4 linked regions of the Alligator mississippiensis genome follow. The protein of the gene in region 4 binds, or shares a complex with, the protein of the main gene of each other region. Links are inferred from orthologs where the notes say so. Each region holds a gene or a part of one and is shown on either strand. Other genes may lie near its edges. The genes, in order: PRPF8, USP39, CWC15 and SNRPD3.

What was found.
Region 1: SNRPD3 (region 4) and PRPF8 share a complex: the UniProt entries of both Homo sapiens proteins name them as parts of the U4/U6-U5 tri-snRNP complex. The link is inferred for Alligator mississippiensis from reciprocal best matches to the Homo sapiens genes SNRPD3 and PRPF8.
Region 2: SNRPD3 (region 4) and USP39 share a complex: the UniProt entries of both Homo sapiens proteins name them as parts of the U4/U6-U5 tri-snRNP complex. The link is inferred for Alligator mississippiensis from reciprocal best matches to the Homo sapiens genes SNRPD3 and USP39.
Region 3: SNRPD3 (region 4) and CWC15 share a complex: the UniProt entries of both Homo sapiens proteins name them as parts of the minor spliceosome. The link is inferred for Alligator mississippiensis from reciprocal best matches to the Homo sapiens genes SNRPD3 and CWC15.

Annotation. Positions count from the first base shown.
Region 1 is NC_081837.1:504,358-511,519, forward strand, and holds the start of PRPF8 (pre-mRNA-processing-splicing factor 8), read right to left. Parts: upstream 3,015-7,162; 5' UTR 2,975-3,014; coding exon 2,875-2,974; intron 2,789-2,874; coding exon 2,620-2,788; intron 2,481-2,619; coding exon 2,316-2,480; intron 2,225-2,315; coding exon 2,006-2,224; intron 1,341-2,005; coding exon 1,128-1,340; intron 836-1,127; coding exon 710-835; intron 630-709; coding exon 524-629; intron 1-523. Other genes in the region: apoptosis-inducing factor 3, read left to right, coding at 5,506-5,534, 5,630-5,710, 5,841-5,950, 6,140-6,249, 6,674-6,718, 6,810-6,891, 7,016-7,128. UniProt on the Homo sapiens protein: Plays a role in pre-mRNA splicing as core component of precatalytic, catalytic and postcatalytic spliceosomal complexes, both of the predominant U2-type spliceosome and the minor U12-type spliceosome.
Region 2 is NC_081830.1:10,641,736-10,648,872, reverse strand, and holds the start of USP39 (ubiquitin carboxyl-terminal hydrolase 39), read left to right. Parts: upstream 1-4,134; 5' UTR 4,135-4,136; coding exon 4,137-4,437; intron 4,438-4,521; coding exon 4,522-4,591; intron 4,592-4,925; coding exon 4,926-5,020; intron 5,021-5,654; coding exon 5,655-5,791; intron 5,792-7,137. Other genes in the region: TMEM150A (transmembrane protein 150A), read right to left, coding at 963-1,027; C7H2orf68 (UPF0561 protein C2orf68 homolog), read right to left, coding at 2,291-2,413, 2,935-3,080, 3,195-3,310, 3,478-3,602.
Region 3 is NC_081824.1:447,193,688-447,200,934, forward strand, and holds the start of CWC15 (spliceosome-associated protein CWC15 homolog), read left to right. Parts: upstream 1-4,240; 5' UTR 4,241-4,350; intron 4,351-4,917; exon of another isoform or gene 4,918-4,920; 5' UTR 4,921-4,925; coding exon 4,926-5,056; intron 5,057-7,247. UniProt on the Homo sapiens protein: Involved in pre-mRNA splicing as component of the spliceosome. Component of the PRP19-CDC5L complex that forms an integral part of the spliceosome and is required for activating pre-mRNA splicing.
Region 4 is NC_081833.1:19,337,912-19,344,756, forward strand, and holds the start of SNRPD3 (small nuclear ribonucleoprotein Sm D3), read right to left. Parts: upstream 3,005-6,845; 5' UTR 2,972-3,004; intron 2,672-2,971; exon of another isoform or gene 2,577-2,671; intron 2,417-2,576; 5' UTR 2,394-2,416; coding exon 2,268-2,393; intron 1,393-2,267; coding exon 1,200-1,392; intron 1-1,199. Other genes in the region: protein GUCD1, read left to right, coding at 3,247-3,577, 5,179-5,263, 6,781-6,845. UniProt on the Homo sapiens protein: Plays a role in pre-mRNA splicing as a core component of the spliceosomal U1, U2, U4 and U5 small nuclear ribonucleoproteins (snRNPs), the building blocks of the spliceosome.

The sequences.
Region 1 (7,162 bases), on a different chromosome or scaffold from region 4:
AAATTATCTTAATGACCAGAGCAAAAAAAAAAGTAGACTCCCCTATTTTATATGTCAGCAAAGTAGTATACGTATGGGGTCCTACTCGCACATTCGGTGATTGACAGGGTGCCAGGAGTGGGTACAGAGACAAAGCTTATGCTAGAACTACACTGTGGAAGTCACAGGTGCACACTGTGAAGGCAGAAGCAAGTTAGCGGAGCTCAGAAGAGATCAGAGATTTGTACGTGAACCAGACTCATTTGCGGTGCCGGAGAGATGATCAGCCCACTGCTTGGAATCACGCCCTTGTTCGCTGGTTGGGGCCAGGAAGGATCACGCCCCTTCACAGACAGCACCGAACAGCAACGCTTTTACAAACAGGCCTATCATTTTCCCTGGCAGTTTGCATTGGCTACCACGTGAGGCAAAGTCATTACGCTACGCCAAAGCCCTTCCCTCAACACGAGGTCTACACAAGGCTCCAAGCCAGGGCTCCTTTCTCCCAGCCCAGTGCCCCCCTGGCTCACGGGCAGTAACTCACCTTGACAGAGTGCCTGTGAGAGATTGGATTGATCAATGGATCAAAGTAGAAAGCTGGCAAGTCCGGATCTTCTGTTTTGATAAAGACCACATTTGGCGTATGATACCTGCAACACGTGCAAAGTGTTAGCGCGTCTTGCCTGGACAAACTCTCCACACCCCAGGCAGCAGACAGGGCTGTACTTACCAGGTCAGATGCACGTGATGTGGCAGGTTGTTATATAGGTAAGGGAAAGCAATTTTGTACTCTGTCCTGATGGGCTGCCTGATGATGATTTTGTTGATGTCATTGAATTCGTTCCAGTCTTCATCCCTTTGAGAAGAGAGAGGCCATCCGGTGAGAATGCGGAGTGCAGTGCAAGCAAAGGTCAGGGACCAAAACGGCAGGGTCAGCATTTGCAGCGCCCTCGCATTCTACCCCCTCCCCCACTCCAATACCGACGCAGCCTCTAAAGAAACAAGCGCCTACCCACATGCACGACTACCTCGCTGCCAGGAGCCGCCCAACAGCATTTGGCCTGGGACAAATCGCGCAGCACACTGAGGATCCCACTCCCAGACCAGGCAGCGCCCATCTTCCCTCCTGTCCCCAGCTCAGCACTTACTGCAAGTTAATGTCTCGAACAAGAGGCTCAAACTTGGGACCCCCGGGAATAGCCATGTTCAGGGCCTTGGAAGTGAAGAAGGCCTTCAGGTCAAACAGATAGAAGTAGTTGTCATCCACAAGATCTGTCAGCAGCTGATTGGCCAGGCGGTATAAGGTGGACATCATGGGGAGTGTGAACTGCCAGCGCTGGTATGTGGAACCATTCACGTACCTGCAAGGAAAGCACCGCGCCGACCAGTCACCGCCAGGCCAGAAGGCGACCGACCCTTCAAGCGCCTTCTCTGCCCCATCCCACTTACTGCAAACGGGAAAGCGAATCATCTCGCCGTTCCCTCCGCAAAAGGAGGGAAGACTGCGTATTTATTCCAGTCCGCTCCAGACAACGCGCACCTCCACCTGCTACCGTGCAAACTCCCCTCTCTACCCCTATACCCAAGATTTAGATGTTAACGCTTGGGACTGTAGCAAGCAACCTGCCAGACAGCACAACGTGCCAATGCAATTTTCCCCAGGAGGTTTGGCTGGCCAAAGCATAACGCAGCCGGCCCGTTCACAGCAGACAACACTGTCTAAATACCACGCACGAAGTTCTCCCGAAACGCTGCTCTGACTCCAGATTCAGTCCTTCGTGCTTCCCTGGAAGATACGCCGAGTTTCATCTCGTTGCAGACGTCTGGCCAGGAGCAACCTCAAGTGTCCGGGTCCCGCGAGCTCTCCGCAGACGCGGAAGGGCCCAGGACAGCTTCCACGCTCCGGTCCCCCCACCCCGCGCCCCACGCTGCGCACGGCGTCTGCTGCTCTCCTCCCGATGGCCACGTTTCGGCGGCGCCGCACGACGCTTTGCAGTGAAACGCGCCGCCGAGAAAGGGTACTCACTTCCTGTTGTCCTTCAGGGGCTGGTGGTCGTAGAACCAGTCCAGCACGGGGGCGTCTTCCTCCGGGTCCAGCTCCAGCTGAATGGCTTCCAGCGGCTCCACGTCCAGGATGTTGTCGGCGTAGTCGAGAGGCGGCTCCTCGTCGTCGAAGGGGGGGAACCGCATCCTTTTGAAGTGACGCCGGTCCCTCTTCTCGCGTCTCATCATGATCCACATGGACCTGGCACAACCCGACACCATCAGACACGGCCCGCCCCGCCGGCTCGAGCCGCGCCCCAGACCCCCCAGGCCCGAGGGCCGCGGCGGCTCACCCCCACTGCGCGATGTACACGGGCTCGATGACCCACGGGATCTCGTTGACGAAGGAGATGGCGCCCGTGATGTGGTACAGCACCGGCACGTCTCGGATCTGCTCCCACGGCATCGGCATGTTCTCCAGCAGCTTCAGCACGGCGTGCGGCATGTACTTCAGGGCCCTGCGGCACGACCGCTCCGTCACAACCCGCCCGGCCACCCGCACGGTGCCTCCCGCCGCACGGGCGCGCCTCCCGCACGCGGCACCGCGCCGGCCCGGCCCGCCCCGCACGGCGCAGCGCAACATAGCGCAACACGCACCCCAGGTAGACCCGCTTGTCGTGCCGGAACTTCCTGTTGGTCATGTCGCCGTGGTCGCGGATGATCTTGCGCACGTGCTCGGGCGGCATGTCCTCCTTCTGCGCGTCCACGAACCCGAACTTCCTCTTCTCCGCGTAGCGCTTCGCCTGCAGCTGCTGCCACTTGCGGGCTGCGGACACGCGAGACCCGAGTCAGGCCCGCCCCTCCCCCACTGCCCCCCACGCCCCTCCCCCCCGGCCCCGCCCCGCCACGCACCCTTCTCCTGCAGCTTCTCCTCAGACATGTAGTCGGGCAGCGGCGCCAGCGGGCTGGGCACGGGCGCGCAGCCCGCGCGGTACGGGAACACGGCCGCCATGGCCCCGCTCCGCTCCGCTCCGCAATGGCGGCCCGCGCCAGGCACCCGGATGCAGCCAGGGGGCGGGGCAGCGCCTGCACCAATGAGCTCTCGGGTTGCGAGACGGAGAGGAAGGGCAGCCTATCAGAGCACTCGCGCGGGGAGGAGGCGGGCGCCCTGGCCGGAAGAGGAGGGCGTGAGGAGGGGGGGTCGCGCGCTAGGATATACTTCCGGGACAGGCCTGACCCCAGCAGGGCTCGCCCTGATTGGTGGGCGTGAGCGCCCCCCAGCGGCGCGGGTGTCGCCTGCCACGTGCGGCCACGTGCGGCCGGGCGCGAGGAGCCTGGGAGCGGGTGACTCCCGCGGGCGGCGAGGGGAAGGGACGGGGGCCGTGCCCAGGATGCCCCCGTGCGCCCCACGCTCCCCTTGCAGCCACCGGGCTCAGCACCACTGCCATGCCGTCCCCTGGGCCCTGCTCTCCGCAGCGCCTGGCCAGCCTCCAGGGGCGGCGCCGTCCCCGAAACGCAGGCAGGGCCGTGGCGCCGTGCGCAGCTCCGAGCAGCCGTCCCGCGCACGCCCCGCTCACGTCTGTGTGGGTGAAGCCCAGCGAGCGGCTTGCCTGCCGGGCATCTCACACCCGTCGTAATCCGCGTGTCACGAGTCAGCTCAAGCCAGATTATTTCCACACTCCCATGAGTCACCTCCCCGCTCCAGCGCGGCTCCCAGCCCTCTCTGCAGGCCCTCAGGAGCTGCCTGCATCGGGCAAATCCCCAGGTTTTTTATCCCAGCTCTGCTCAAAACAAGCTCTTGGCTTTGTGAACCGGTGCGGGCGTCTGAGCTCGGCCCCCGCCGCGGGGCAAAGCCAGAGCCCGACCCCGAGCGCTCCTCGGAGACCGGCTCGCTCCTGGCGGCCGCGTCTCTGCAGCTGCTCCAGCATGGGGGAATGCACAACTCCAGAGCTCTTGGTTCAGGGACGACACCTTTTATTAGACCAGCTCGCAGGCACCGGGAAGCATTCGAGAGCCCGCGACCCTGGAGGAGGAAGCGACTCAAACGCCTTGGCAAAGGCCGGAGGAGCGCGAGAGCGCAGGGGCGCGCGTCCGGCGGCGGGAGCAGGAGGAGGTGCAGCCCAGGTCGTACGCTCTCACCCCTGCCTGCTGCTCGCTCAGGAGCTACTGCTGTCGGGTCGTCCCGCGCCCGGGGCTCGCTCACACCGTCCCCGACACAGGTGCAGCCCTCCTTCCCCGGCGGCGATGCTGAAAGACACTGGCGATGTCTTCCGTTGGATCTTTTGTCCAGCAAGAGAGAGCACCCCAAAACATCCTGGCTTCTCTCACGTCCTCTGGACGACCCTGGCTCCCACATCCCTCCAGTAGTGCCCAAAGCACTTGCTGTCCCCAGCCAGGAGCTGGACAGACGCTCAGCCAGGGTTGCCGTACAGACGATGCATTTGTCTCGGTTAAGGTCCTGGTCCCCGCAGCTGCTACGTCTCTGATTTACGCCTCCCATTGGCACCTTGTTGCACGTCTCGGCCTCTTGAAGGCTCAGGACAAGCTGGCGGCTGCTTAACCTGGCAGGGGAGATAGCGCGTAGCTGTGTCCAAGACGGCCGTTGTCCTGAACCGCACCACAGGAGGGAGAACTGCTCTTCTGGCGTGGTTCAGCACCCACTGAGGTGCAGCAGCTTTAAGCCCAGTTTACGGGAACGGGAGGTCTCGTCCCTTGCTTGCTCCTGGGGTCTTATGGCTGAGGGCAAGCAAAACTTGGGGGCATCCAAGCCCCAAACCTCTGGGCTTGGGCCTGCAAGTAGGACGCCCGCCAAAGGTTTTGGAAACGTCTGAAGCCCCAGGTGCAGGAGGAGGGTGTGCGGCGGTGCAGCGCCGCTTCCAGTTCTGCGCTCGGATTTGGAATTGGGTTTGGCCGGTTTGGCCTTGGATACAAATTAAATTCAAAACAAAACAAAGCTCCTGGCTCTGGGCTTTGAAGTCGGAGAACCAGAAGCGCTGCTTCTTTCTCTGCAGCTAAGCAGCTTCTGCAAGCAGAGTCAGCAGTCTCGTCCCCCCGGGACCCGCAGGAGAGGCGGCCCCTGCCCGGCCGAGCCTGGCGGGCCTCCTGCGGGCGGGCTCCAGCCCCTTCCCGGCCCACTCCTGCGGCCAACGCGGGGAGCCGGGGGGCGCCCAGCGCGGCACAGCGGCACGAGCCGGCTCCCGCACCCGCACCCGCCCGAGGGGGCTCCGTGTGCCCGGGCCGGCGAGCCCCGCAGCCCCCGCACCTGGGCCAGGCTCCGCTCCGCTCCGCCCCACCCGGCCGAGCTGCGTGCGGGGCCGCTGCTCCGGCTCAGCCCGGGCGACAGCAGCCGGGTATGCCGGGAGCCCGCCCCGCCCCGCCCGCCCCGCCGGGAGCTCCGCACGTGACGGCCCGGGGGGGCGGGCGGCGGGCGCGGTGCAGCCCCGCACCTTGTGCAAGGCGACGCGCCGTGGGCGGCGGCGGCTACAAGTAGCGCGGCCCGCCCCGCCTCGCCCCGCCACCGCCGGGTGCGCTCGGCCGGCCGCGATGGACAGGGCGCCGCAGCCCGGGAGCAGGCGAGTATCCGCAGATGCGGGCGGGGGGCCGAGCCGGGTGTGGCCGGGCCGGGCCGGGCGCGCCCCGCGCTCACCCCGCTCCTCCCCGGGCGCAGCCCCCAGGCAGCCGCCGGCGACACAGACCCGGGCACGGTCACGCAGGAGGTGTGCCGCGAGTGCGACGTGTGCGACGGAGAGTGAGTGCCCCCCCGCGCTGCCCGGCAGGACGGTGGGTGCCCCGGGCCGGGCCGGGCCGGGCTGGGCAGCCCTGGCCGTGCCCGTGCCCGTGCCCGGGGCGCTGCTCAGCGCGCCGCCCTGTGCCCGCAGGCTGCGGGAGGTGGAGGTCGCCGGCTTCCCGGTGCTGCTGGTGCGGAGCGGGACGCAGTTCTGGGCCCTGGGCAGCCGCTGCCCGCACTACGGAGCGCCCCTCTGCAAAGGTGAGGGCAGCCCCACCGCCCCACACGCCGCCCCACAGCCCCGCAGCCCCCGATGGGATCGGGGAGGACGCCCGCGCCTGCCCCCGTACCCCCGCGGGGTTGTGCCCCTGCCCAGCGCAGCAGGCACACGGGAGTCCTGGAGCCAGCTCTGCTCCCACTGCTCACCCTCTGCCCGGGTCTGCCTCGCAGGAGTGCTGAAGGGCAACCGGCTGCGCTGCCCCTGGCACGGCGCCTGCTTTGACATCAAGACCGGGGACATCGAGGAGTACCCGACTCTGGACTGCCTGCCCTGCTTCCAGGTGACTGTGGCTTGGCTGCACCCCGTCGCCGTGCCCGGGCATCGACCCTGTCCCAGCCGAGCCCAGCCCCGGCTGCTTGGGCAGGTGTCCGGACGGGCCCTGCCCAGGCTCTTTGCAGCTATCTGCATTGGCTCCTGTAACCGTGGGGCTTCTCCGCTTCCTGGGGGTCCCTGGACCAGACCCAGGTGCCCATGCTGAAGCCCACGCCAGGGGATGATGCACAAAGCTACCTCCCGTGCAAAGCAAGCCCACGGCCCCAGGGGAATCGGAGGCTGTGCCCTGCTCCCAGTCCGTCGGTACCACTGGGGCTCCAGGTCCTCCTAGCAGAGCCTGCCTGGCCCGTCCCGGCACCGCGCCTCGGCCCACAGGGCCTCTGGCAGCGCCAGTGCAGCGCTGACCTCCCACTCTCCTCCGGTCCCCGCAGGTGAAAGTGGAAGATGGGAAGGTGTTCATTACTGCCAGGAGAAAGGTACCTGCCTCGTCGTCCCCCACCCCCTGCAGCCGCAACCAAGCGTAGGGCGAGGGCCACCGCTTGCCTTCCCTGACCCGCTTTCCTTTAGGACCTGGAGAGCAGCCGGAGGCTGAAGGACATGAGCAAGCGCTGCGGGATCAACCAGACCACGGTGCTGCTGCTGGGCGGAGGTGGGCAGGGCAGGGTGCGCCCGAGTGGGACCCCGGCCTGAGCCCTCCCCAGCCATGCTGGACCCTCCTCCTGCCTGCGTGGTGCCAGGTCGGCATGGCAGGGCTCAGACCGTTCCTCCCTCAGGCCCAGCCTCGCTGGTGTGTGCGGAAACGCTGCGGCAGGAGGGCTTCACGGGCAGGGTCATCCTGGTGACCAAGGAAAGGCACGTGCCTTACGACAGGACCCGGCTGAGCAAGGTGCGTGCGGGCCTGGCTCCGCGCCCTCCAGGCA
Region 2 (7,137 bases), on a different chromosome or scaffold from region 4:
TGTGGCTGTCTGCACATTCACTCCTTGCCACGACACTTGGGTTCTGTGTCCTTTTGTGTTTGTCTATCTCCCCCTCCCTGGAGGCTTGGGTTCTGCATGCATTTAAGTGTCCATCTGTCCCGCTCCTGGATGCCTGGGTTTTGTATGGGTTTTCATCTGTCTACCTGCCCCTTGCCAGGACACCTGGGTTGTATATGTCCTTTCCTGTTTGTCTGTCTGTCTCCCCCTCCTGGATGCCTGGGTTCTGTATGTGGTTTTGTGTCCATCTGTCCTGCTCCTGGATGGCTGGGTTCCATGGGTGTCTTCATGTCTGTCTGTCTTATCTGTCCCTTGCCAGGACACCTGGGTTGTCTGAGTCCTTTTATATTCATCTGTCTCCAACTCCTGGGCACCTCAGTTGTGTGTACGTTTCTGCCCATCGGTCCACCTGTCCCTGGCCAGGCATCAGGGTCCTGTTGTCCTTTCCTATCTATCCCCTCCCCCCCCCCGGACACCTGGGTCGTTTTCCTGTCTCTTCTGTCCTCTTCTAGGACACCTGGGTCTGTGTTCTTTTGTGTCAGTCTCTCCCTCACTCCCAGATGCCTGGGCTCTATGTGCATCTCCTGGCTGGCTGTCTTTCCCTCCCCCCCTCCCTCCCTCCCCCAAGACACCTCCCCGGGAGGGGGAGGGGTTGTCCAACCACCCCTGCTTCACTGCACCCCCTCCAATCCCTCCCATCCAACCCCGACCCAGACATGCCTGGTTGGGGGTGGGGCCTGGAGCTCTGCCTCCCATCCCAGAGCCTGTGCCCAGAGAGGGGAGCTGGGGGGTGGGGATCAACCTCTAAGTGCCCCCTTCCATTAGAGCCCGAGCCCAGGCCCAGGCCCCCTCTGCTGGCCGGAGGTGGCACTGCGGGGTGAGGCGAGGACATGGGGTGGGGACGTTACAACCAGATCTGGTAAGGGCCCCTGGGAGTCACTCACACAATCCAGATGCCGGTGATGGAGAAGGCAGAGAGGCTGATGGGAAGGATGATCCAGGCGGTCATGGGAGGGCCGGCAGGGGGGAGCTGGGGGGTTGGGGGGGGCACTGGCTATTGCCCCGCGTCTCTGCCCCGAAGCATCTGGAGGCTGCGGGGGGGTGGGGGGTAAACAGATTGCTGGACAGATGTTGGAAGGGCCTGGACCCCCAAAGAACCAGGCGTCTGGGCTCCTGCCCCTCTACCCCCCAGCCAGGCAGCATACCCAGGTGTCCAGGCTCCCGATACCCAGCTATGCTCTAACTACTCGGTCTCTCACCTCCACCCCTGGGGAAGGGACCCAGGTGCCCGGACTCCCATCAGACTGCTCCCAAGGGCCCGGACGCCTGAGTTCTCGCGGGGGAGAGGGGAGGAGAATGGGGGCTGCACAGTTGGCTTCCCCCCCCCCCAACTCGGAGGGACTAGGTTGGTGCCCACCCTGCTGCAACCACGTGGCTAACGAAGGAGCCCCGGGAACAAGCCCGGCTGGGGGGAACTGGAGACGCAGTTAGTGGGCAGGCCCCCCAGAGTGCCACCCCCACGAGGGAAAACTGAGGCACGGGGCGGATGATGTCATAGCAGCCCCTCCTCCCCCCAGGGTCACAGCTGGGCCCCAGCCAGGCAGGGGACCCAGGCGTCCGGGCTCCTGGCCCCTCATTGCTCTGACCACTAGGCTGTTCGCCCCCACCCCCGGCGGGAACCAGGCGTCGGGGATCCTGTCACGGGACCCCCACCCCTTACCCGGCCGCGCCGAGTCCACACGGGCCTTTAAAGGGCCAGGCCGGCCCCGCCCCGCCCCCTCCCGCGCGGGGCATGCCGGGAACTAGAGTCCTGCCGCCCTCTCCATGGGACTACAACTCCCGGCGTGCCCAGCGCCGCTGTCCCATAACGTCACTTAACGGGGCGGTGCTTGCATAATGAGCCAGCCAAGAAGGGGCGGGCGCGGCTGCCCCCATCCCCCAGCCCGGACACCTGGGTTCTTTGCTGGGGGGAGGGGCATGTGTGTGCCCGTCCGTTTCCCCGACCCCTTGTCTGCCCACACACTCCTGTTCCTCTCATGACATCATTGTGACCTCATTGTAATGTCACACCCACCATCTCCCCTTTCCACCTGCCCCCAACCTCCTACGGCCTGGCCCCTCCCAGATACCTGGGTCCCCCTGCCAGCACCCCTCTGGTCCCACCCGCTCTGCCTCAGTTTCCTAGGAGAAAACAGCTCTGGACTCCTGTGTTCCCACCAGTGTTTATTGTCTGGGCTGCGGGACAGGCTCAGGCCCAGCGCCCGCTGCCCACTCAAGGCCTGGCCTGGCGCTTGTGCAGCTCCTCCCGCACCCGCTGGCACAAAGCCTGGCGCAGGACAGGTTCCAGCGGGCTGTGGGCGCACACCTGCTGCGCCACCTCCTCAGGGCTGTCATCCTGCGGGGAGACAGGGTGAGAGGTTGCGGCCCCCATGAGCCGGGGCCTGCGGGGCAGAGGGTAGCTCATGCTGAAGCCCCTGGGGGTGGCTGTAGGCAGTGCATAGGCAGGTATGGGGGGGGCACATGCCACCCCCTTGCTGCCGACATGGCTGCGACCAGTCCCCACTCGCAACCTCCCCCCTGCTACCGACACTGTCGCTGCTGACGGTCCCCGCTCGCTGCCGACAAATGGTGTTCCCCCAGTCTCGGGAGGCACCAGTTGTTCATGGTGTTGCCGCCTTCCCATCCCTGCCAGACCCCAGGGACTACAGCCAAGTGCCAACCTCCTGGTGGGCCTGGGGGTTGTGCAGCCAGGTGCCAACCCACCTGTCCAGGGGGTGCACCCTATTGCCCCCTGCCCTCCCACCCACAGGAGCTTGAGACCCCTGCTGGACCCCAGGGCACTGCAGACAGGACCTAAGGCCGCTAGTGCTGTCCTGGGGTGCTGCAGCCCGCCTACCCGGGCACCCTGCCCCTCACCTGGTGGACGATGACGGCTGTGACATCACCGCTGTCGGCTTCGAACTCGAGGCAGAACAGCTCGGGGCCCCGAGGGTCAGGCTCGGGGCTGGAGCTGCTCTCGCTGGAGCCCTCGTAGTCCAGGCTGTAGCTGGGGTCCGGCTGGCCTGGGCAGAGAGGGGCCTGTGAGGGCAGAGGGGCAGCCTCCTGCCCCTAAGCCTTGACCTGCAGCCCCTGCCCCTGCTGCTGCCCCTGCCCCCCAGCCCAGGCGCCGGGCTCACTTCGCCGCCGGGGGTGATACACCTGCTGGTCGGGCTTGCGGGGCCGCGGGGGGGTTGGCGTGTGCCTCTTCTTCACCTTCTCCTTGGCTTGCTTCATCTCCCGGTCGTAGTCATCCCTGCGGGCAGCAGGGCATGAGGCCGGGTGTCTCCCAGCGGTCCCCAGCATGGGGGGCAGAAGCCTCGGGCGGGGCAGGGGTTCTCAACCCGGGGGCGCTGGGGCTGGGGGCACGGGGGACGGATAGGTGGGGGGCAGGTGGGGAGTGCGGGGCACGGCGGGCGGCACCTGGCGATCTGGTTGCGGCGGATACTGCGCACGAAGCCGTGGCTCATGTCCAGCCGCCCGCCCGGCCGCCCCCCACCGCCCCGCTCCAGCTCCAGCTCCGGCTCCGGCTCCGGGGCCGCCTCCATCGGGCCGCCGCCCGGCCCCGCCCCCCGTTACCCCCCCAGGTGGGTTTGGGGACTCGGTCCCCCTCGGGCTGTGCAGGCGGCTAGGGCCGCGCCCCGAGGGGGCGGGGCGGGGCGGGGCGGGGGGCCTGGTGTAGCAGAGACGTCCCGGCCCGAGGGCGGCGAGCAGCTTCTAGGAAAAACGGGAAAAAAGGGGGCGCTGTGTCTTTAAGGAGGGAACTCCGGGGAGAGCAGCGGTCGGCCACCTGGCAGCCCGTAGGGAGCATGCGCAATCTTAGAAAGGCTGCTGGGGGGAGTTAGGGTCAGCTCTGACTGAACATCATTAGGATGTGAGTGCGCATGTACGAGAGACACCAGAGGGGAAATGCGAATCGGATGGAAACAGGGATCCGTAGTAAAGCAGACGCCCACAGGCTCTGCGTGTCGGCGCATGCGCAAAAAGGCGGAAGTAAGCGCTTGGTTCTACCCAGCTCCACCCTCGTCATCGCTGCGGCGCATGCGCAGAGAGGCAACGCGGGCTGTGTTGGGGGTGCGGCCATGTCGAGCCGTGTGAAACGGGAGCGGGAGCGGGAGCTGCGCGCGTCCCCAAGGGGCTCGGCGCGGGGCAAGCGCGAGGCTGACGGGGACTCGCGGGGGGGCGCGGCGCGGGAGCGCGACCGGGGCCGCGCCCGGCGGGAGCCCGAGCCCGACCGCGCGCGCCTGAAGCGCGAGGCCGAATCGGAGCGGGACCGCGCACGGCGGGAGCGCGCCGGGGAGCGGGAGCGCGCCGAGGGGCCGCCCCGCATCAAGCGCGAGCGCGAGGCAGAGGCCGACTCCGACCCGGAGCCCGAAGTCACCGGTGGGCGCGGGGGGCCGGGTCGGGGGAGGGGAGGGGAGGTAGGACGCCTGGGTTCCGCCGCTGACGCGTGTCCGTGTCCTGCAGTGCGCTACGGACGCTTTGACCCCGAGGACCGGCGCAGCCGCCACTGCCCCTACCTAGACACCATCAACAGGTGCGGGGCAGGACCTCACGTGCACAGGGTGCTTGGGCGTGTGCACATGTGTGCATGTGTGGCCACACTGGCATGCACATGTGTGTAGGCTCGCATGTACCACACATGTCTGCCTCGGCATAGAGGCGTGCCCACATGTGCTCCATGACCGCCATGCCCCTATGTGCACGCACCCGCCCAGGCTCTGGAGCAGGGGCAACATCTGCCTCCTGCCGGCCCAGGGCTGGGAGCCGGGGTGCGGCAAGGGGGAGGTCCCAGAGGCGGCCTCAGACAGGTCTGCGCTGGGGCCACCTTCAGGCCCTGCCCACTCAGCCTCTTCCCCATTCACTCCCAGGAGTGTCCTGGACTTCGACTTTGAGAAGCTCTGCTCCATCTCCCTGTCGCACATCAACGTCTATGCCTGCCTTGTCTGCGGCAAGTACTTCCAGGGTGAGTGCTCAAATGCGACTGTGCAGCACCATGCAGGGGGACCGGGTGGCAGGGGCCTGCAGCGGGTTCCTCTGGTCTTGACTCTTCCCCCAGGCCTCACGGTTCAGGAGCCAGCAAAGCTGGGAAGCATAACGCTACTGTTGCTGTACAGTGTGCCCAGGGCGCTCCAGCAAAGCGCTACTTCATTCACACAGCCTAGCTTTGCATGTACAAACATGTGTGCATATATGATCATGTGTGATTGTGAATGCAAATACATGTACGTGTGGATGTGCATGTATACATGCATATATACATGCAAGTGTGCATGTGCACATGCCTATACATAAATCCACGTGCATACATGTGCACGTACACATGCATAAATCCTTGTTTGTGTGGGAATGTATATGTACATGTTTGCATGTATGTGTCTATATATGTATATATACATGTGTATGTAATTGTGTGTGCATGTGTGTGCACTTGTATACGTGCATATATGTACAAAAATCCATGTGCATACCTGTGTATGCATGTCTATGTATGTGTGTACATGTGTATGTGTGTCCGTTTATACACATCTGTGTGTGGAGGTGTATATATGCAAACGTGTAGATGTGTGTGCCTTGACTACTGCCCCTTTCACGTGCAGGCCGCGGCCTGAAGTCCCACGCCTACATCCACAGTGTGCAGTTCAGCCACCATGTCTTCCTGAACCTGCACACGCTCAAGTTCTACTGCCTGCCTGACAACTACGAGATCATTGACTCCTCCCTGGAGGATATCACGGTATGTTTAGGGGAGGGACTGAGACACGGGAGGGACTGGGAGGAGCAGGGGGCACAGCACGAAGAAACCTTAGAGACAACTGTGAGTTCCGGTCAGTCACCAAGGCCCCGCCAGGTTTTTGGTCACAAGGCACAGCCCTAACACACACATGATCTGACAGCCAAGGCGTGCACATATGTTTGTCCATGTCATAGCACACCCCTATTCAGACTCCTCTAGGCTGAGCCAGTTCCCATCCTTTCCCTGGTTCCTTTTCTACAGCCATCCATGCACATGGTGTGTCACCTTCCACTGGTCTCTCGAATATCTGGAGGGATCATGGGCCTCTGGGCTTTACTGGATGGGTTCCCATCCCAGCCTGAGCCTTCTGGGACTGAACTATTCCACCCCTTGTCCAGCCATCCCATGACAGGAGCCCATGCCTGGCTCAAGTGCCTAATGTTGCTTTTATCAGGACTTCAGGTATTGGTCAGGGGCACTGATCAAGCCAGTGCTTTAGCAAAGGCTTTGCACAAGCAGCGTATGTAGCAATCAGTGGTCCAGCCAGGCCTAGGGGCTGGAACAGGCTCTTTTTGCCCATAGCAAATCTCTGCCTATACCTAGGGTTGGATCCCAACTGAGAGCCTGCAGTGTGAAGCAGCTGCACACAAGGTGGATGTGGTTTTGGGAGGCATCAATAGGTGGGTTGGGGCAAGATGCAGGAGGTGATCATGCCTCTACTCTAGATTGCATGCCATTATGGCTTCCACTTTTTAAACACAATGTGGAAATCTGAGAAAGGGTCCAGAGCTAGTGACAAATATGGAGGGCTTGGAAAGCAAGTCCTGCAAGGAGAGGATGAAGGAGCTGGGCTTGGGGGGAAAAGGCACCTAAGAGGCATGATACAGGTGGCGGGGGGAGTGGTTAAGCCTTCTCTAGAGGCACTGGTTGTTGGCTGCAGCCCAGCATGGGGATGGCGACTGGGCTGTACCAGTGCTCCTGCTGGGACTCGAACCATAGCGTCCTGGCTAGAGGATCTTGCCTTTTCATTCATGCTCAGACCACAGTTGCATTTGGGGTCTAGAAGTAATTTCTCCCCCAGTCAGATTGGTATGGAGTGGGGGGGAAGGGTTCCCTTCCTCTGTAGTGGAGGCACAGACTTCCTCGGGGATTTCTGGAGCATCTATTAACAACTCTTTACAGCAGCAGGATGCTGGCCACCACAGCTCCCCTGCTTTCTCTGGAAGGCTCAGAGGTGATGTCTGGTGTTGTGCCAGCATTGTCTTATGGAGAGTTTAGATGATGGATGGGTCTGGGATGGTTTGGACAGTGCTGATCTTGCCTCAGGCAGGGGGTTAGACTAGATG
Region 3 (7,247 bases), on a different chromosome or scaffold from region 4:
GACTAGAACCCCATTGTGTTAAGTGCTTTATAAACATGGAACAAAAAGATGGTTCCTATCCCCCAAAAGCATGAATTTTCTTATTATTTTTATGTTGTTTATATATATATATATATATATATATATATATATATATACACACACACACACACACATACATACATATATATACATATATATGTATATACACATACATATATATACACATATATTATACTTTTTTTTCCCCTCCTTTTTGTCACCTGCGCTAAAGTGCCTTTCCTCTATCCAGCATTTTTTACTCTGCAGAGCTAAGAAAATGGACCTTTGCTTTGCAGAATTTGCCCTTCCCTGTGTTAGGTTTATCCTGCCCGGACCTGGAGCTGGAGCTGGGAATAAACATTCTCTCAAGGTGTGCGTGTGTGTAGGCAGGTCCCTCCTGATGTACAATACAATATGTTGGTCAGTTATGGAGCACATATTCTGTAATCACTGGTGTGAAGGCTGTGAAAATGTCAGTGAGCCCTGTCTGCTAACTCACCCCTAGCTCAGTTGCTCCATTTCTTTCACTATCCCCCCAAGAGTTACTCTCTCAACCACACTAAAGATTCCACAGTAATTTTGAGCCTGCAAACACATCTGTAGGTTTACACCTACAGGAGAAATGTAGACGCTGCTGGGATGAAGAGCAGCAGCCAATTATCATCCAGCACCCTCATGTTTTGTGATGTCACTTGGGCTGAAAGACAGCAAAGTAAAACCCAGAGTAAGAGAGAAACTCTAAAAACCATCAAACAAAAAGCTTAAAAAAACCCAACCTGAGACTGAATGAATGCACCTAGTGCCATGCCCTGGGACCCATTAGAGCTGCACTCGGGAAAAGTGTTGAAGGAACCACATTTGGGAGGGCAGGTGTTCAGCTAGGAATGTCCTGCCACCACCTCCAGAATTCAGCCCTGGGTAGGGTTACCATACTTCCAGTTCCAAAAAAGAGGACACCAGCCAGGGAGGATACCTCACTCCCAACCCACAGCCCCATGACCCTGCCAGTGCCCCTCACCCCCAACCTGCAGCCCCCCGTCCCTGCTGCTGCCCCTCACTCCTGACCCACAGACCCCTGGCCCTGCCGGTGCCCCTCACTCCTGACCTGCAGCCCCCCTAACTCCCTCCAGCAGGGCTGGAGGGGGTCTCCAGCTGCCCCCATTCGAACTGGGTCAAAACGCAGCAGCTACAGTGGCTCTGGCTCGTGCGGGCAGCAGTGGAGCGAGTCTGCTCCTAGCACAGGCTGAAGGTAGGATGAGATGATACCTGTAACACCCCCTGCCCCAGGCTGGGGCTTCTGCACTGCGCCAGGTGGGCTATCTATGCATCCTGGCCCCCGGGCAGTGTTTCCCAGGTGCCCTGCTCCTGCAAGCATGGGTACCTGCCCTGGTGCCACTAGCCCATCCGTGCAGCTCCCTGCTGCCCCCAAAGGACCCCCCACCCCTTCCCCTGTTGAAGGGTCAGGTGTCTCCCTCCTGCCCCTGTGCCCTGCCGCACCCTTTGCACCCCCCCACAGTCATGAAGCCTTGGCTCTCCAACCCCTGTCCTCACAGCCTTGCCTACATCAGCTGCTGAGGCTGCTCCCACCCCCTGCCTGGCTGCGTGCCAGCCACAGATGCACCTGGTGACCCTGCCTCCAGTCACCAGTGGAGCGGAGCGGAGAGGAGCAAAATCCCAGATATTCAATTACATTTAGAAAAACTGCCTGGACAGAGATCGGAGGACCCAAAAAGAGGACATGTATGGGAAAACCCAGACATATGGTAACCCTAGTCCTGGGGAACAACAGAGCTAAATTCCACAGCTGCATTGCACAGATACAGTGCGTAAGAAGCAGTCTCTGACATAATCAGATGCCAAGTCATCCAGTGATGCAATACTCACTGGGTAGAGGGAGATAAGGGGCTGTGTTAGACACAGGAAAGAGGCAGCTTATCCACTAACTGGTGCATCTCTCCCTGGCTGTCGGGCCAAGGGGAAGGGCAGCTCCTGATTCTCTACCCTTAGCTTTTGGGGCCCCCTGCTGGATAGTCTCATCAGCTGCAGCCTCGGCAGGAGGCTGTGCTTGGAAAGTTGCTGCCCTGAGATTGTAAGCACACAGATCAGTGGTTCTCATCCTTCTTGGACCCGGGGTGCCCACCTCTGGTCTGCAGGCCAAATGCAGCCTGCAGAGCCAATGCACCTGGCCTGTGGAGCTCCCCACGGATCAGAAAATTTGGTGGTGGGGGAGCGGTGGCCATCCTCTCCCCCTGCCATATTCCCAAACACCAAGCCCATGTGCCCAGTCACAGCCACGCCAGGTCACCTTGCCCCTGAGGGGGAACAAGGCCATGCTCCTTTCCCCTTCAGCCCTGTGAAGTCCCTTCCCCGCTGCCTGGCTGGGACCAGGCCAGGCTGTTGCCCAACCTCCTCCACGTGGCCAGAGGTGGCTACTGCATTGACCCTGGACTCTGGATCAGAAGCCTTATCTGGCCCGTAGTCGGACCAGGTGCTGCCGATTGGGCCCACCGGGGAAAAAGGTTGAGCACTGCTGAAGGCACCCCTCATTAGGCTCAAGACAACCAGAAAGTGGCAGCTCTTGGCATTCACTTCTTTCTTTGGGATTGGAAAAGAGGGAGCAGACACATTCTTGCAGGAAAGGGGCATCAGGAGTTATCGAGCTCGGGAGAGAGGGGCACGGCCTCAGAATCAGCACTTCCTAAACCTTAAATGCTGGAGGCTGTAAGTGAGAGAGGAACAGGGGAGAAAACCCTGGTCAGGCCCAGGTCCCGCTCCCTTCCACTGTCTGCTGTCTGCCCCCGTGTGACACAGGGCACTGGGCCAGCCGGCCCTGGGGCCTGACCCAGTCCCTGATGTTTATCATCATGACGACAAAGCAACAGAGCGATTCTGCTGCTGCAGAGACCGGGATTCTGCTGCCTGAGCGTGCTGCTGATGCCCAGGATTCCCATGGGAATCATGTCTAAGCACCTGCAGCCCCTAAATGTGCTAACAGCGGGCTCAGCTCGCGGCACCCTTCAAAGGATCTCTGGGCACCACCTGGGCACCATGGCTCCTGGATGAGACTTGCTGGCACGGAGCAAGCAGCCAGGCTCATGGGGTGGGGGTGTTGCCAACCTGGGAGCACTGGGATGGGCCCACAGATGTGCTCACAGATGCCTCCTCAATCAAGAATATAACGAGTGAAGAGACCGGACAAACAGAAGGACGATTTGGGTGGAGGCAGAGGGAGAGCACTGAGGGGTCTTTTATGAAACTCTGACATTCTCAAGGGAATGGTGGTGGGTGCACGGGCAAACTTTGTAATGGGACAAAAATAATGTAACTGTTGAAAGTAGGGTGCCAACTCTGTTTGAATCTATCCCGGGAGGTTTAATCACATGATGTAATGACATTAATGACGGATCTACTGACTGTACTCAGGAAGGTAAATGCACATGACTATTACATTTTAAAAACACACTGGACTACTGTATAAATCGGATGCGACATTTCATAATTGATTTTAATGAATGCCCTATCATGCATCTCCTGGGTGACTCTTGGCAGTCTCCTGGAGCTTGTATCTCATTCCTGGGGACTCCAGGGCAATCCTGGGGGGGTCGGCAACCCTAGTTAAAAGTGTGTTTTTGGTCTCTCAAGTGAACCACAGCAGTCGCATGACAGCTTGTCAGAGGCAGTTGTCTATGTTTAGTTATATAAAGTGTTTTTTATATATATATATATATATATATATATATATATATATATATATATACACACACACACACACACACACACACACACACATATATATAGTTATATATATATTTGTATAGTTTAAATAGTTTTATATATATGTAGTTATATACAGCTTATTTATATATATAGTTATATATATACAGAGATATATAGATATATATATATGTTTAGCTGTTTATATTTATTAGAAATAAACATTTGGGCAAAAACTCAAAAGCCCCTACTGCCACTGAGCGCCCACTGCGCAGGCGTCCCGGGGGCGGGGCCAAGCACTCACAGGCGGGCTCTGCGGCCAATCAGCGTCCGGGGGGGTGCAGCGGGAAGCCGCCGTCTCCACAACAACCTCAGGGCGGCAACTTCCGCCTCCGTAATCATGGCGGACACGCGGCCCGGCCTCGGACGTGACGCATTGATCTGCTCATAGGCGGGAAGCGGCTGAGCCTGGCCCCACCCCGCCCCGCCCCGCCCCGCCCCTATGGTCTGCGCGCGGCGCCTTGTGGGACGGCGGCGGAGTTATGGTGGTGGCCTAGGCGCCAGGCAGCGCAGCCGGGAGTGGCGCGGCGCCCGGGGAGGCGCGGGGCTAATACGGTGCGTTGTGGGCGGGGGGAGCGAGGCCTGCTCGGGCAGGGGAGGGGTTGCTGGGTCCTCGCAGCGCCTCCCGCCGGCAGAAGGGGGGGGGAGGAGCCGAGAGCAGGCCCCCGCCGCGCCGGGCCCCGGCGGAGCTGGAAGCACCGGGGGCGGCGCGGTGTTGGGGCAAAGGGGCATCCGCAGCCTCCCGCCCGGCCTCCGGGTCACGTCCTGCAACGCTGGAGGCTGCGAGCGGAGAGGAGCCATTGAAACAACCCCCCCGGTGACACCAGCTGCTGGGCAGCCTGGACCGAGGGCCTGGTCCAGCAAATGGCAAATTTGTGTGTTCTTATGTGACTCCTCGGTGGTGTCACACTTCAGCCTGACCCGCTTGAAAATCTCCCTCCCTTTCAGTATAACGAAATGGTTGCCGGCCGGGTTGTGACAGGCCGTGTTGCAGCCCAGGTGTGTGAACGCCTCGCGTTAGGAAGCGTTCTCGACGCGGTGATTCCTAGATAGCGCACCCGCGGGTACGTGTCTCTCACCACAGTTAGTAGTAACGGCCATATTTTGCATTGGATTCCCAAGTAGCTGAGATGACAACAGCTGCCAGGCCAACGTTTGAACCTGCGAGGGGTGGGCGAGGAAAAGGCGAAGGAGACTTAAGCCAGCTCTCCAAGCAGTACTCCAGCAGAGATCTTCCTTCTCACACTAAAATCAAATACAGGTAAGCGCTGGTTTGTTTCTCCTGAAATATTTTGCGCAGCGATTCTTCGTTAAACCTAGTTTGAGACGCGAGTAATTATTGAAAAACAAGTACTATAATTATTAGCCCTCTGCGTGGAAAGGGGATTACTGCTGAACTAGAAAAAGAACTGCAAGCTTTAGCCTAAGGGGCAGATACAGAAGATAAAATGGATTTGAAATTATTAGAGTGTTTTATTATTGAATGTACTGTTAACTTGCGGTTTCTGGGTACCATGATGGAAGCAGGTATTCAGAAGTGGTCTGGGTACACAGAGGGTGAACTGGATAAGAAAGATATCCTGCCCCCAGAGGTTGTTTTGGGAAAGGATATAGGGACATGTTAGACAGGAAGACGTAACTGTATGCATATCATAACTGGTAACATTTACAGAACAAATAAGGTGATGAGACATGCTAAAAATGGTTTTTGAGGTTGGATGGGGTCTTAAAAAAAAAAAAAAAGGACAGATAGTTTTGAATGAACATATTGATTAAAAAATAACCTGTGGAGAGACTGGCAGGTGGAGGAGGATAATAGACTCGCATTGGGCAAGGTAGATCACTTGGCAGTTTTGCCCGTTCACTTCCAGTATCTTCAGTGATGTTTTCCTTTACTTTTATTACCAACCACATTCTGAAAGTGTTTGTTCTTTAGGTCAGAGGTGTCAAATATATGGCCTGTGGGCCAGATCTGTCCCATGCAGCCCTATCATTCAGTCTGCGGTGCTGCCTGTAGGTCTTGGATCATCCCCATGTGCTGCATGTGGGATGCGGGGCTGGTCGGGATCAGGGAAGTAGACTAGTTCCCCACACAACATGGGGCTGGCATGCTTACTGCATGCAGTATGTGGGGCTGGTCCAGGAAGCATGCCAATTCTAGCATGCAGGGGGCAGTCTGTATACCTGATTTCAGCCTGTAGACTGGCCCTGTGCCTCTCATTTGATCTGCTGGGCTGGATGAGTTTGATGCTCCTTCTTTAAGTTTATGATGGCTTTTTAGTAGAAGGAATGTTGTTGTGATTTTTCATTTACAGAGGGCAGTGTAGGCAAAAATGCATACGAGTATATAATATATAACTTATTGTTCTTTTGGATGGTTTTTTTTTGGTATCTTCTGCTATTCTTCCTGAACACTGATCTAATAGGTTGGCTTTGTTAAATATATAGCCAGAACTTCATCACACAAATTTAAAAGTGGTCACTTTAGTCCGTCACCTCTTTTTGAATGACACGGTAACATTTTGGATTCTTGTGATGGTAACATCAATTGTGGGCACTCCAGTTCCTTGTTCTTATTTATACAGTAGGAAAATTGAACAATATGTTAATACTTATGGTATATTTTATAACTGCTGAAGTCTAGGATTCCTTTAGGTATTGTAAGCACTTATTTCTAGAAGTGAGTTCATAGAGGGGTGGAGTTCATTCCTGTTCATTTCACTTGTTTTACATTCTTTTAATATTGGCACCTAAAATTGAACAGTCCTTGGAAACCTTATATTAATGTGGGTTAATATAAATCAACTTTGCTGACAGAGACTTCTTAAGTATGCATGAATGGAAATATTGTATATAAAAATTTATTGATGTGCTTTTTCCTACTTAGACAATTAGGGTTGGAAGGGACCTTAGGGGAGGTCAAGACTGTTCTCAGTGGTGGCAGATAACAGAACAAGGAACAACGGGCTCATGTTGCAGAAAGAAAAGTTTAGGTTGGATATTAAGAAAAACTGTCTCACTAAGAGGGTAGTAAAGCACTGGAACGGGCTACCCAGAGAAGTTGTGGAATCTGCATCCTTAGAGGTTTTCAAGACACCGGTAGACAAATCCTTGGTTGGGATGATCTAGTTGGGGACAGTCCTGTTTTGATCAGGGAGGTGGACTAGACCTCCTAAGGTCCCTTCCAGCCCTAATTTTCTAAGTAGGAAAAAGCACATCAATAAGTGTTTATATACAATATTTCCACTCATGCATATTTAAGAAGTCTCTGGTACCATCACAAAAATTAGGGTTGGAAGGGTCCTTAGGAGGTCATCTAGTCCAACTCCCTGTTCAAAGCAGGACTGTCCCCAACTAGATCATCCCAACCAAGGCTATGTCTACCGGTGTCTTGAAAACCTCTAAGGATGTAGATTTTACAACTTCTCTGGGTAGCCTGTTCCAGTGCTTTA
Region 4 (6,845 bases):
ACACATTTAGGAAGTACAAAGATATTGAGGATTATACTGGACACCAGAACTGACTCTTTCCAAAGCGGTTTCAGAACCAATATTGGTATTTTAAAAGTTTTTTGTAGAAGTGCACTGATACATTGGTCCGATATCGGATAAGCACTGGCATAAAGAAAATTGAACGTAAACCGGAAATTGGCTTGATGTGGCCAATAATTTGGCTGATAAATGCCTGTGTGCGCGCATAGCTACAGTGCAGTGCACAGTCAGCAAGGAGCACAGACTGGCAGCTTGGAGAGCTGTGTGCAGCTAGTAAGTCTGGTGTGGTAGAAGGGATGGGAAGGGGAGGGGGGAGGGCAGATCAAAAGGTCCCTGCCATGAGGGAGAAGTGAGGCTGGGGCAAGAGGTGCCCAGCTGGGACAAGGCGGGCACAGGATGGAGCTGCAGCTTGTCTTGGGTGCATGGGGCAGCTCCCACCATTGCACGCTGCTTGTCAAGGAGTCACCGGTCCAGCATTTGCCCAGTGGCTCCCACCACTCATCCGGGAGGGCATGGGGGAAGGGGGGCATGTGCCCCCAGATCTGGGAGGGGCTCTTCCCAGCCCATCACACCCAGATCGGGGGGGGGGGAATGCCACCCCCACCCCCTAGACGAGCAGCAGGAGCAGTGGTGTGAGCTGCCAGGCGAGTGCCAGCCCAGTGGCTCCCGGACAAGCCACAGCTCCATCCCACACCCTCCCCAGTTGGGCAGCACTTACCCCAGCCCCAGACCTACTCCTTCCCTCACTGCGGGGTCATTGATCTGCTCCTCCTGGCCCCTTCCACCACAACAGACTCAGCAGCTGCACACAGCTCTCCAAGCTGCTGGGCTGGTATCAGAAGTCCGATCAATACCAGCAGATGCCTCCTGAAAAGAGTCAGCTATTGGTACTTGCCTCAAAAAAAAAAAAAAATCTTCATCAGCGTACTTCCTAGGTTGTTTCTGGGGATGTGTTGTTTTTGTTTTTTAAATGAAGCACTACAAAATTTATACTGACAAACTGAAGTCCAAACTACTCAATCATTTAATTTGCACCGCAGGTTGGCAACTAAACTCCCAACTTTTATATTTTAATAATAAATTATACCAAGCCACTTGTGCTGAAGTATTCTCGATGCATCCATTTTACCATGTCAGTACGTTATCAGAAAAGCTAAGAACCAACTAGAAGTACTTACCTTGGGCTTTGAGAATAGCTGCTTTGCCTCGTCCAGCCCCCGAACCCTGGTTTTTATTCTTCATGCTCTTTAACATAGGAGCATTTTTCAACATGTCTGGCAAAATGAGGAACCGGATCTTGCTACCCCTAATGTACACCTGCTCCAGCTGTGCCACTCGCCCATCTCTGTATGTCACTGTGATATTGGACATCTGGAAGACAAAAGCTACTCAATACTTCTGACACAATGAGTTTTACCTCCAGAATTCGGGTGTGGAGTCTAGAAATAGGAAGAGCTGTTTGGGTCTAGTACACAGCAGATTTAAATTAGTTGAGCATGTAAATAACATGATGGGGAAAGAGAGAAGAGACCAAGCTACATAGCCTAGTACTTAATGAACAGCCAAGTGTTGCACAGCTGTAAATCCAGCTTGAAAGCAACAGACTGCCTTGTAGAACATTTAAATACTCTTCTTTCCTCCTGCATGTGTCAGACTGGGCATTTTAAGTCATCCGCACACTCATCTATTCACAGTATCCCAGAGGAGGGAGACTGTCCACATGGTGGCTTAAGTGTTAACACTTTAACTAGAGTAACTGCAACACATCCTGTTCCTTCGACTAACCAAATCAGAGACTTCAGGCTAACGTGGTTAACCACCTCCACACAGGCTTCTTTATAGAAAAAGATGTTTTCATGCTTCATTACTTCCATCAGCCAAGGAAATACTTTGCTCAATGTGAACATTTGGCCTCAAATCAGCCACAGTGAAGCCCCAGCCCGATTTGACACACTTTTCAAAAAAAGGCAATTATAAAATAAACTTAGGGGAAAAAAATTTCTTCTGGGGAAGGAAGGAAGAACTCAAGCTGGCTGATGATATGAGAAGCTCTTGTCACCAGCACCACATACTCAGACCTGGTAAAAGGATAAGTGTCTGTTTATGGTAGAAACAGAAGCGGCCTCAGAAGCAAGCTGAGATGTGCAGCTCCCTGCTTTCCGCTTCAGCACTGCAGTGTTTTACCAACCCTAAGCCCGTCACTCAGACAAGCACCTGAGGTAGAGTAGGGGCCTCACCCGGCCTACCTGGCAGTTCATGTTGTCCTCGGCCTCGATGAGCTTGCCCCGATACACCTCCCCCGTGTTAGTCTCGCACGTCACGATGTGGCCCTCGGCCTCGTGCAGCACCTTGATGGGCACCCCGATCGACATCCCAGCGGCGGCGCGGCTCTACCCTGCGGGAGAGAACAAGACAAGGCGGGGGCGGTCAGCGCCTCCCGCGGGCTCTGCCCGGGGTCCCGTCACGGCAGAAGGCGCCTCGACGCGCTCTGGGGAAACAAATACGCCGCCCCTAAGAGACGCCAACCGCGGCCAACTCCCCCGGCCGCCACCCACCGTTAGCACGAAGCTCACAACGTGCGGCCCGCAGCAGCGCTCTAATGGCCTCTCGCACTTCCCGCCCTGCCCCGCGCGCCGGAACCGGAAGTCCGGCGTCCAGCTCTAAGCCGCGGCGCCCCGGCTCTATGGTCGAACGGGGACGCGCCACTCGGGTGTCCCCGCGCTAAGGGGCCGGCGGGACGCGGCGGCCAGGGGGAAGGTTCCGCCCGCGTCCTGCTCCCGCCTCCCCCCGCCGAGTGGCGACAGGGTGCCTCCGCCCACGCACGCCATGCGCCCTCGGCAGCAGCGTGCCCCACCCGGCCCCGGGCACTTGCACAGGAGCCCCCTCATGCCCCCTCTCCCTGTGGGGCGCGGGGAGAAGCCCCTTCGGCGACCGCCCGTGGCCCCCCGACCTGTCCCGGTGCAGCTGGGCGCGCACGGTCCCCTTCCCGCTCCTCCCCCTCCCGCCTGGGCCGCCCCCGGCCCCGCCCCGCCCCGCCCGACAGCAGCGCCGGGGCGCGCAAAAGGCGGCGGCGCCGGCATGAGGGGACCCCCGCAGCCCGGCTCGGCCCCCGGCCACTGAGGCGGCGCCATGAAGAGCCCCCGGGAGGCCGGGCCGCCGCCCGCCGAGCCGAGGCCGGGGCCGGGGCCGGGGCCGCCCGCAGGTCAGTGCGGCCCGCCCGCCGGGATGGGGCAGCGGCTGCGGGCGGCTCCCCGCGCTGCCCGGCCCTGGGAGGCCTCCAGCGCCGCGGGCCCCGGGGGTGGGGGCGAGGATTTGTGTCCGCAGCCTGCTCCGCCTCCGGCCTTGCTGCCGGCCGGCCCCGTACGGGCTCGGCGACGCGGGCAAGAGGCTCCCGGCATCCATCCAGGAGACTCGGCCAAGCCTCGGGCTTCACTTGTTGCTGCTCCGCGCTGCTGCAGGGCCGAGGCTTGTCCGCTGCGCCGGGGTCCGCGGCCAGCGCAGCCCGCGCTCTGGGTCGGCCCCCCGGTCCCTGCTGTCTGGCCGGGGCAGAGAGCAGGTGCTGACGGGGAGGGCGACCCGGGTCTGATGTCCCGCTGTGCCTCTCCCACTTGTAGCCTCCAGGATTTGCGGTCGAGGCATCCCTGGTTCACAGCCGCCAGCCCCCGCTCCCGCGCTCAGTAGCAACTGACTGCTGTCCCTTCCCTCCAAGGACCCGTTGTCCCCTGGCCGTGGGCAGGGTGCTCCACCCTGCCAGAGAGCGAGCCTCCTTCTGTTCATTTTAAACTGACTACCGACTCGTTTTAGTTTGTGACAAATGATTCATACCTTCCGATATGAGAAGACGCCTGGGGTTAATATTTCCTGTAGCATAATGAGTCCGAGCGCTCTGATCTGTGCTAGCCAGGCAGGCTACCAGGAGAGACTGGCGGTTCTCAGCAGGAACGCCGGTTTTCAGAGACGCGGGGGGATGGCTCAAAACAGCAGGATGCACGGGAATTTTGGAAGGAGCCTCCAAAATCCATGTTTGCTTGTTCCTGTTGCATGCCGGCCAGGACATACCTTCAGTGGCAAGTTGCAGCAAGTTAGGAGGAGGATGTTGAAAAGCTGATGTTGATCACGACTAGCTTGTATGACGTTGAACGCGTCTTGTTCTTGTCTTTGCATCAGAAGACTTGTGAAAGCTCGATTAACGTGGTGTTAACACAGCTTCCTCAAGTCATCTTACTTCAAGCGGGAAGGTTCTTGAGGACACAAGGCCCTTGACATCAAACCTGTTTGGGCTGAAACTGACTCTGGATACTTTAAAACTTCTGAGGCAGTGGATAAGGAAGTGAGGTTGAAACTGTTTCATCATCACCCTTGACAGTAGAAAGCTTATAATTTCTCCTGTGGGGGAGGGGCAGACATCCTTGCAGTTTATTTTATGGCTGCACAGTATTTTAACTCAACAATCTGAGGCTTTCTTATAGGGATTTTTTTTTTCTGTTTTACTTGGCACTGTTGTTGTGAGCTCATAATGCAGAAGGCCAAGAAGTGTAATTTCCAAGAGTTGATTTTAAATGCAAAATCATTATTTGAATAAACAGTAATACATTGGGTGTGTCACCGACAAGATCTACATCTGTAGAGAAGGCTTAGAGATCTTTTCCTGTGGAGCTTTGTTGCCTATGTTTACACTACGGTCTTGATTAGTATTTCCTCTGGCATGACCTGCTGCATTTGCCTGATGAATACTCTCGCTGTTTGGGTGCATTCTTTGACACGTAGAGGGTTTCCAAAGTCACATCGGTAAAAAGAATGTTTTGAACATACCACAATAAGATGAAAATCTGTGGTTCCCCTGCTCTGCTGGAACTCAGACAGAGGCCCTGACCAGGGATTTCACCAACCAGAAAAATGGATAGGTGTGAGGAAAGTGTAGAATTGTCAGTGAAGAGGCAGTGCCAGGTTAAACCACACCTTAGTTTTACTTCTTGCTAAATGGACTTCTTTAGAAACACTTATTTTCCCATCAGCTAGTTGCTTCTCAGCCTCATTTTTTTTAAAGTGCCCCAGTACAGCACAGAGAGCTGGCAAAAGAATTAGTGCATAGAAGGATATACCCATCTGGGCTTATTTACTTATGCTCTTAATATTAATGCATTGTTTTTGCTACAGTTGACTACATCCAGTTGAAAGTGCCAGTTATTCAGCAGCTGTACCACTGGGACTGTGGGCTAGCCTGCTCCAGGATGGTTTTGCAGTAAGTAATTGTTCTGGGTTGAAGGGGTGGGTTTGGGCACAGGGTGGGGAAAGTATTACTCATACTGCCAGACACTTCCATATATCAGGACTTAATGCTAAGGGTGGAAGTTGGTAGAGGTAGCTGGCTGTGACCTAGCCTCCCAGCTCCATCCAAGCATATTCTTCCCATACCCTTCCAAGAATTATGGCTGCCTGACTAGGCACAGCACCAGCTCTCTAGCAAGAGGAAAAGAAAAAGCTGAAAGATTTAAGTAACTAACCATGTGTTCTGATAGATGCAAAATAGTTGATTAAGAATTCTGCCGATCAGCATGTTTAACCTGCTAGAATGTTTTCCCTGCAGAGTAGCATGGTTTACTTTACATGATTATATCCATCCTCCTTGCTGGGACAGTTACTTGGCACAGCAGTTCACTTAGTGTCCTTTCTGTACTTTTTCAAATAACTAGGAGTTCTAGCCCATATTAATAGATGTTAGTATCTTGCCATTCTCCAGTAGGGTATCTGCTCTGCCAGGTAAACATTTAACATTCCAGAGATTGCTTGAGTTTCAAGACTATGCTCTGTGTTGCCCGGTTTGTAACGTGCTAGCTTCCTGCTGAACTCGTCTTTCCTTCCACAGAGGAACATGAGCTTAGGTGCAGGAGAGTGAAATACCTATTTAGATGTCCACTTAGTAGCTATGAAGCAGAAGATTTTCATTTCTCTCCATCCCTTCTGCCAAGACGTTAGTCCGTGTGCTGGTAATTTCCCATCTTGACTACTGTAACCTCTGCCTCTCCTTCCCCTTTCACCTCTTTTCCTCTCCTCCCCATTTACAACTCAGCTTCTAAAATTTTATCTTCTTACCCTGCTAATGTGACCTTGTTTCCTCCCCTCCCTGAATGCCTCCAGCTTCTCCTTTTTTCTGTACAAGTTCAGTTGTTTCTCATTTACAAAGCTTTCTATAACCGCCCCTGAATAAATCCCTGGTCTCTTGCACCCTTTTCCACTTCAGTTAGAATGCCACCCAACTGGTTCCTTTCTCTGCCCTGTGACCTTCTTCATACAAGCCTCAATGCCTGAGATACATAAATATTTACAAAGTTTCTTTCCTCTTCCTCCAAAAAAATTATTTTGAACTCCAACTATTTCTTGAAGCAACCCAGCTCTAGTTCCCACCCCTGTTGTGCTTGCTTTATATTGTACGTGTGTTCTTGGACTGTAAACTCTTCAGGATAAGACATTATTTGTTTAGTAGAGTTTACTGTGCAGTATTCTGTATACCTTTAGCACCGTACAATCAAGACAGTAATAAATTTCAAAGAGAAAGTCACGTGTAATAAAACCAATGAAGTCCTCCCTGCCTTCCCTTTTCCCTCCTTTGAAATTTGTGATGCATTTCTGCATTATATTGTGATCATTTCTCAACCAAACCCTATTGTTTCAGGTTTTCCTTTCTGTGATGCTAAGAGGCTCGAACTGAAACAGACACGTTTTGCTAATACCTGCTTCCCCTTCCTCCCAATATCTCAGGTACATGAATCATTTGGATGACGATGAGTTTCAGAAGGCCATCCGGGAACTTCGATTAACAAAGA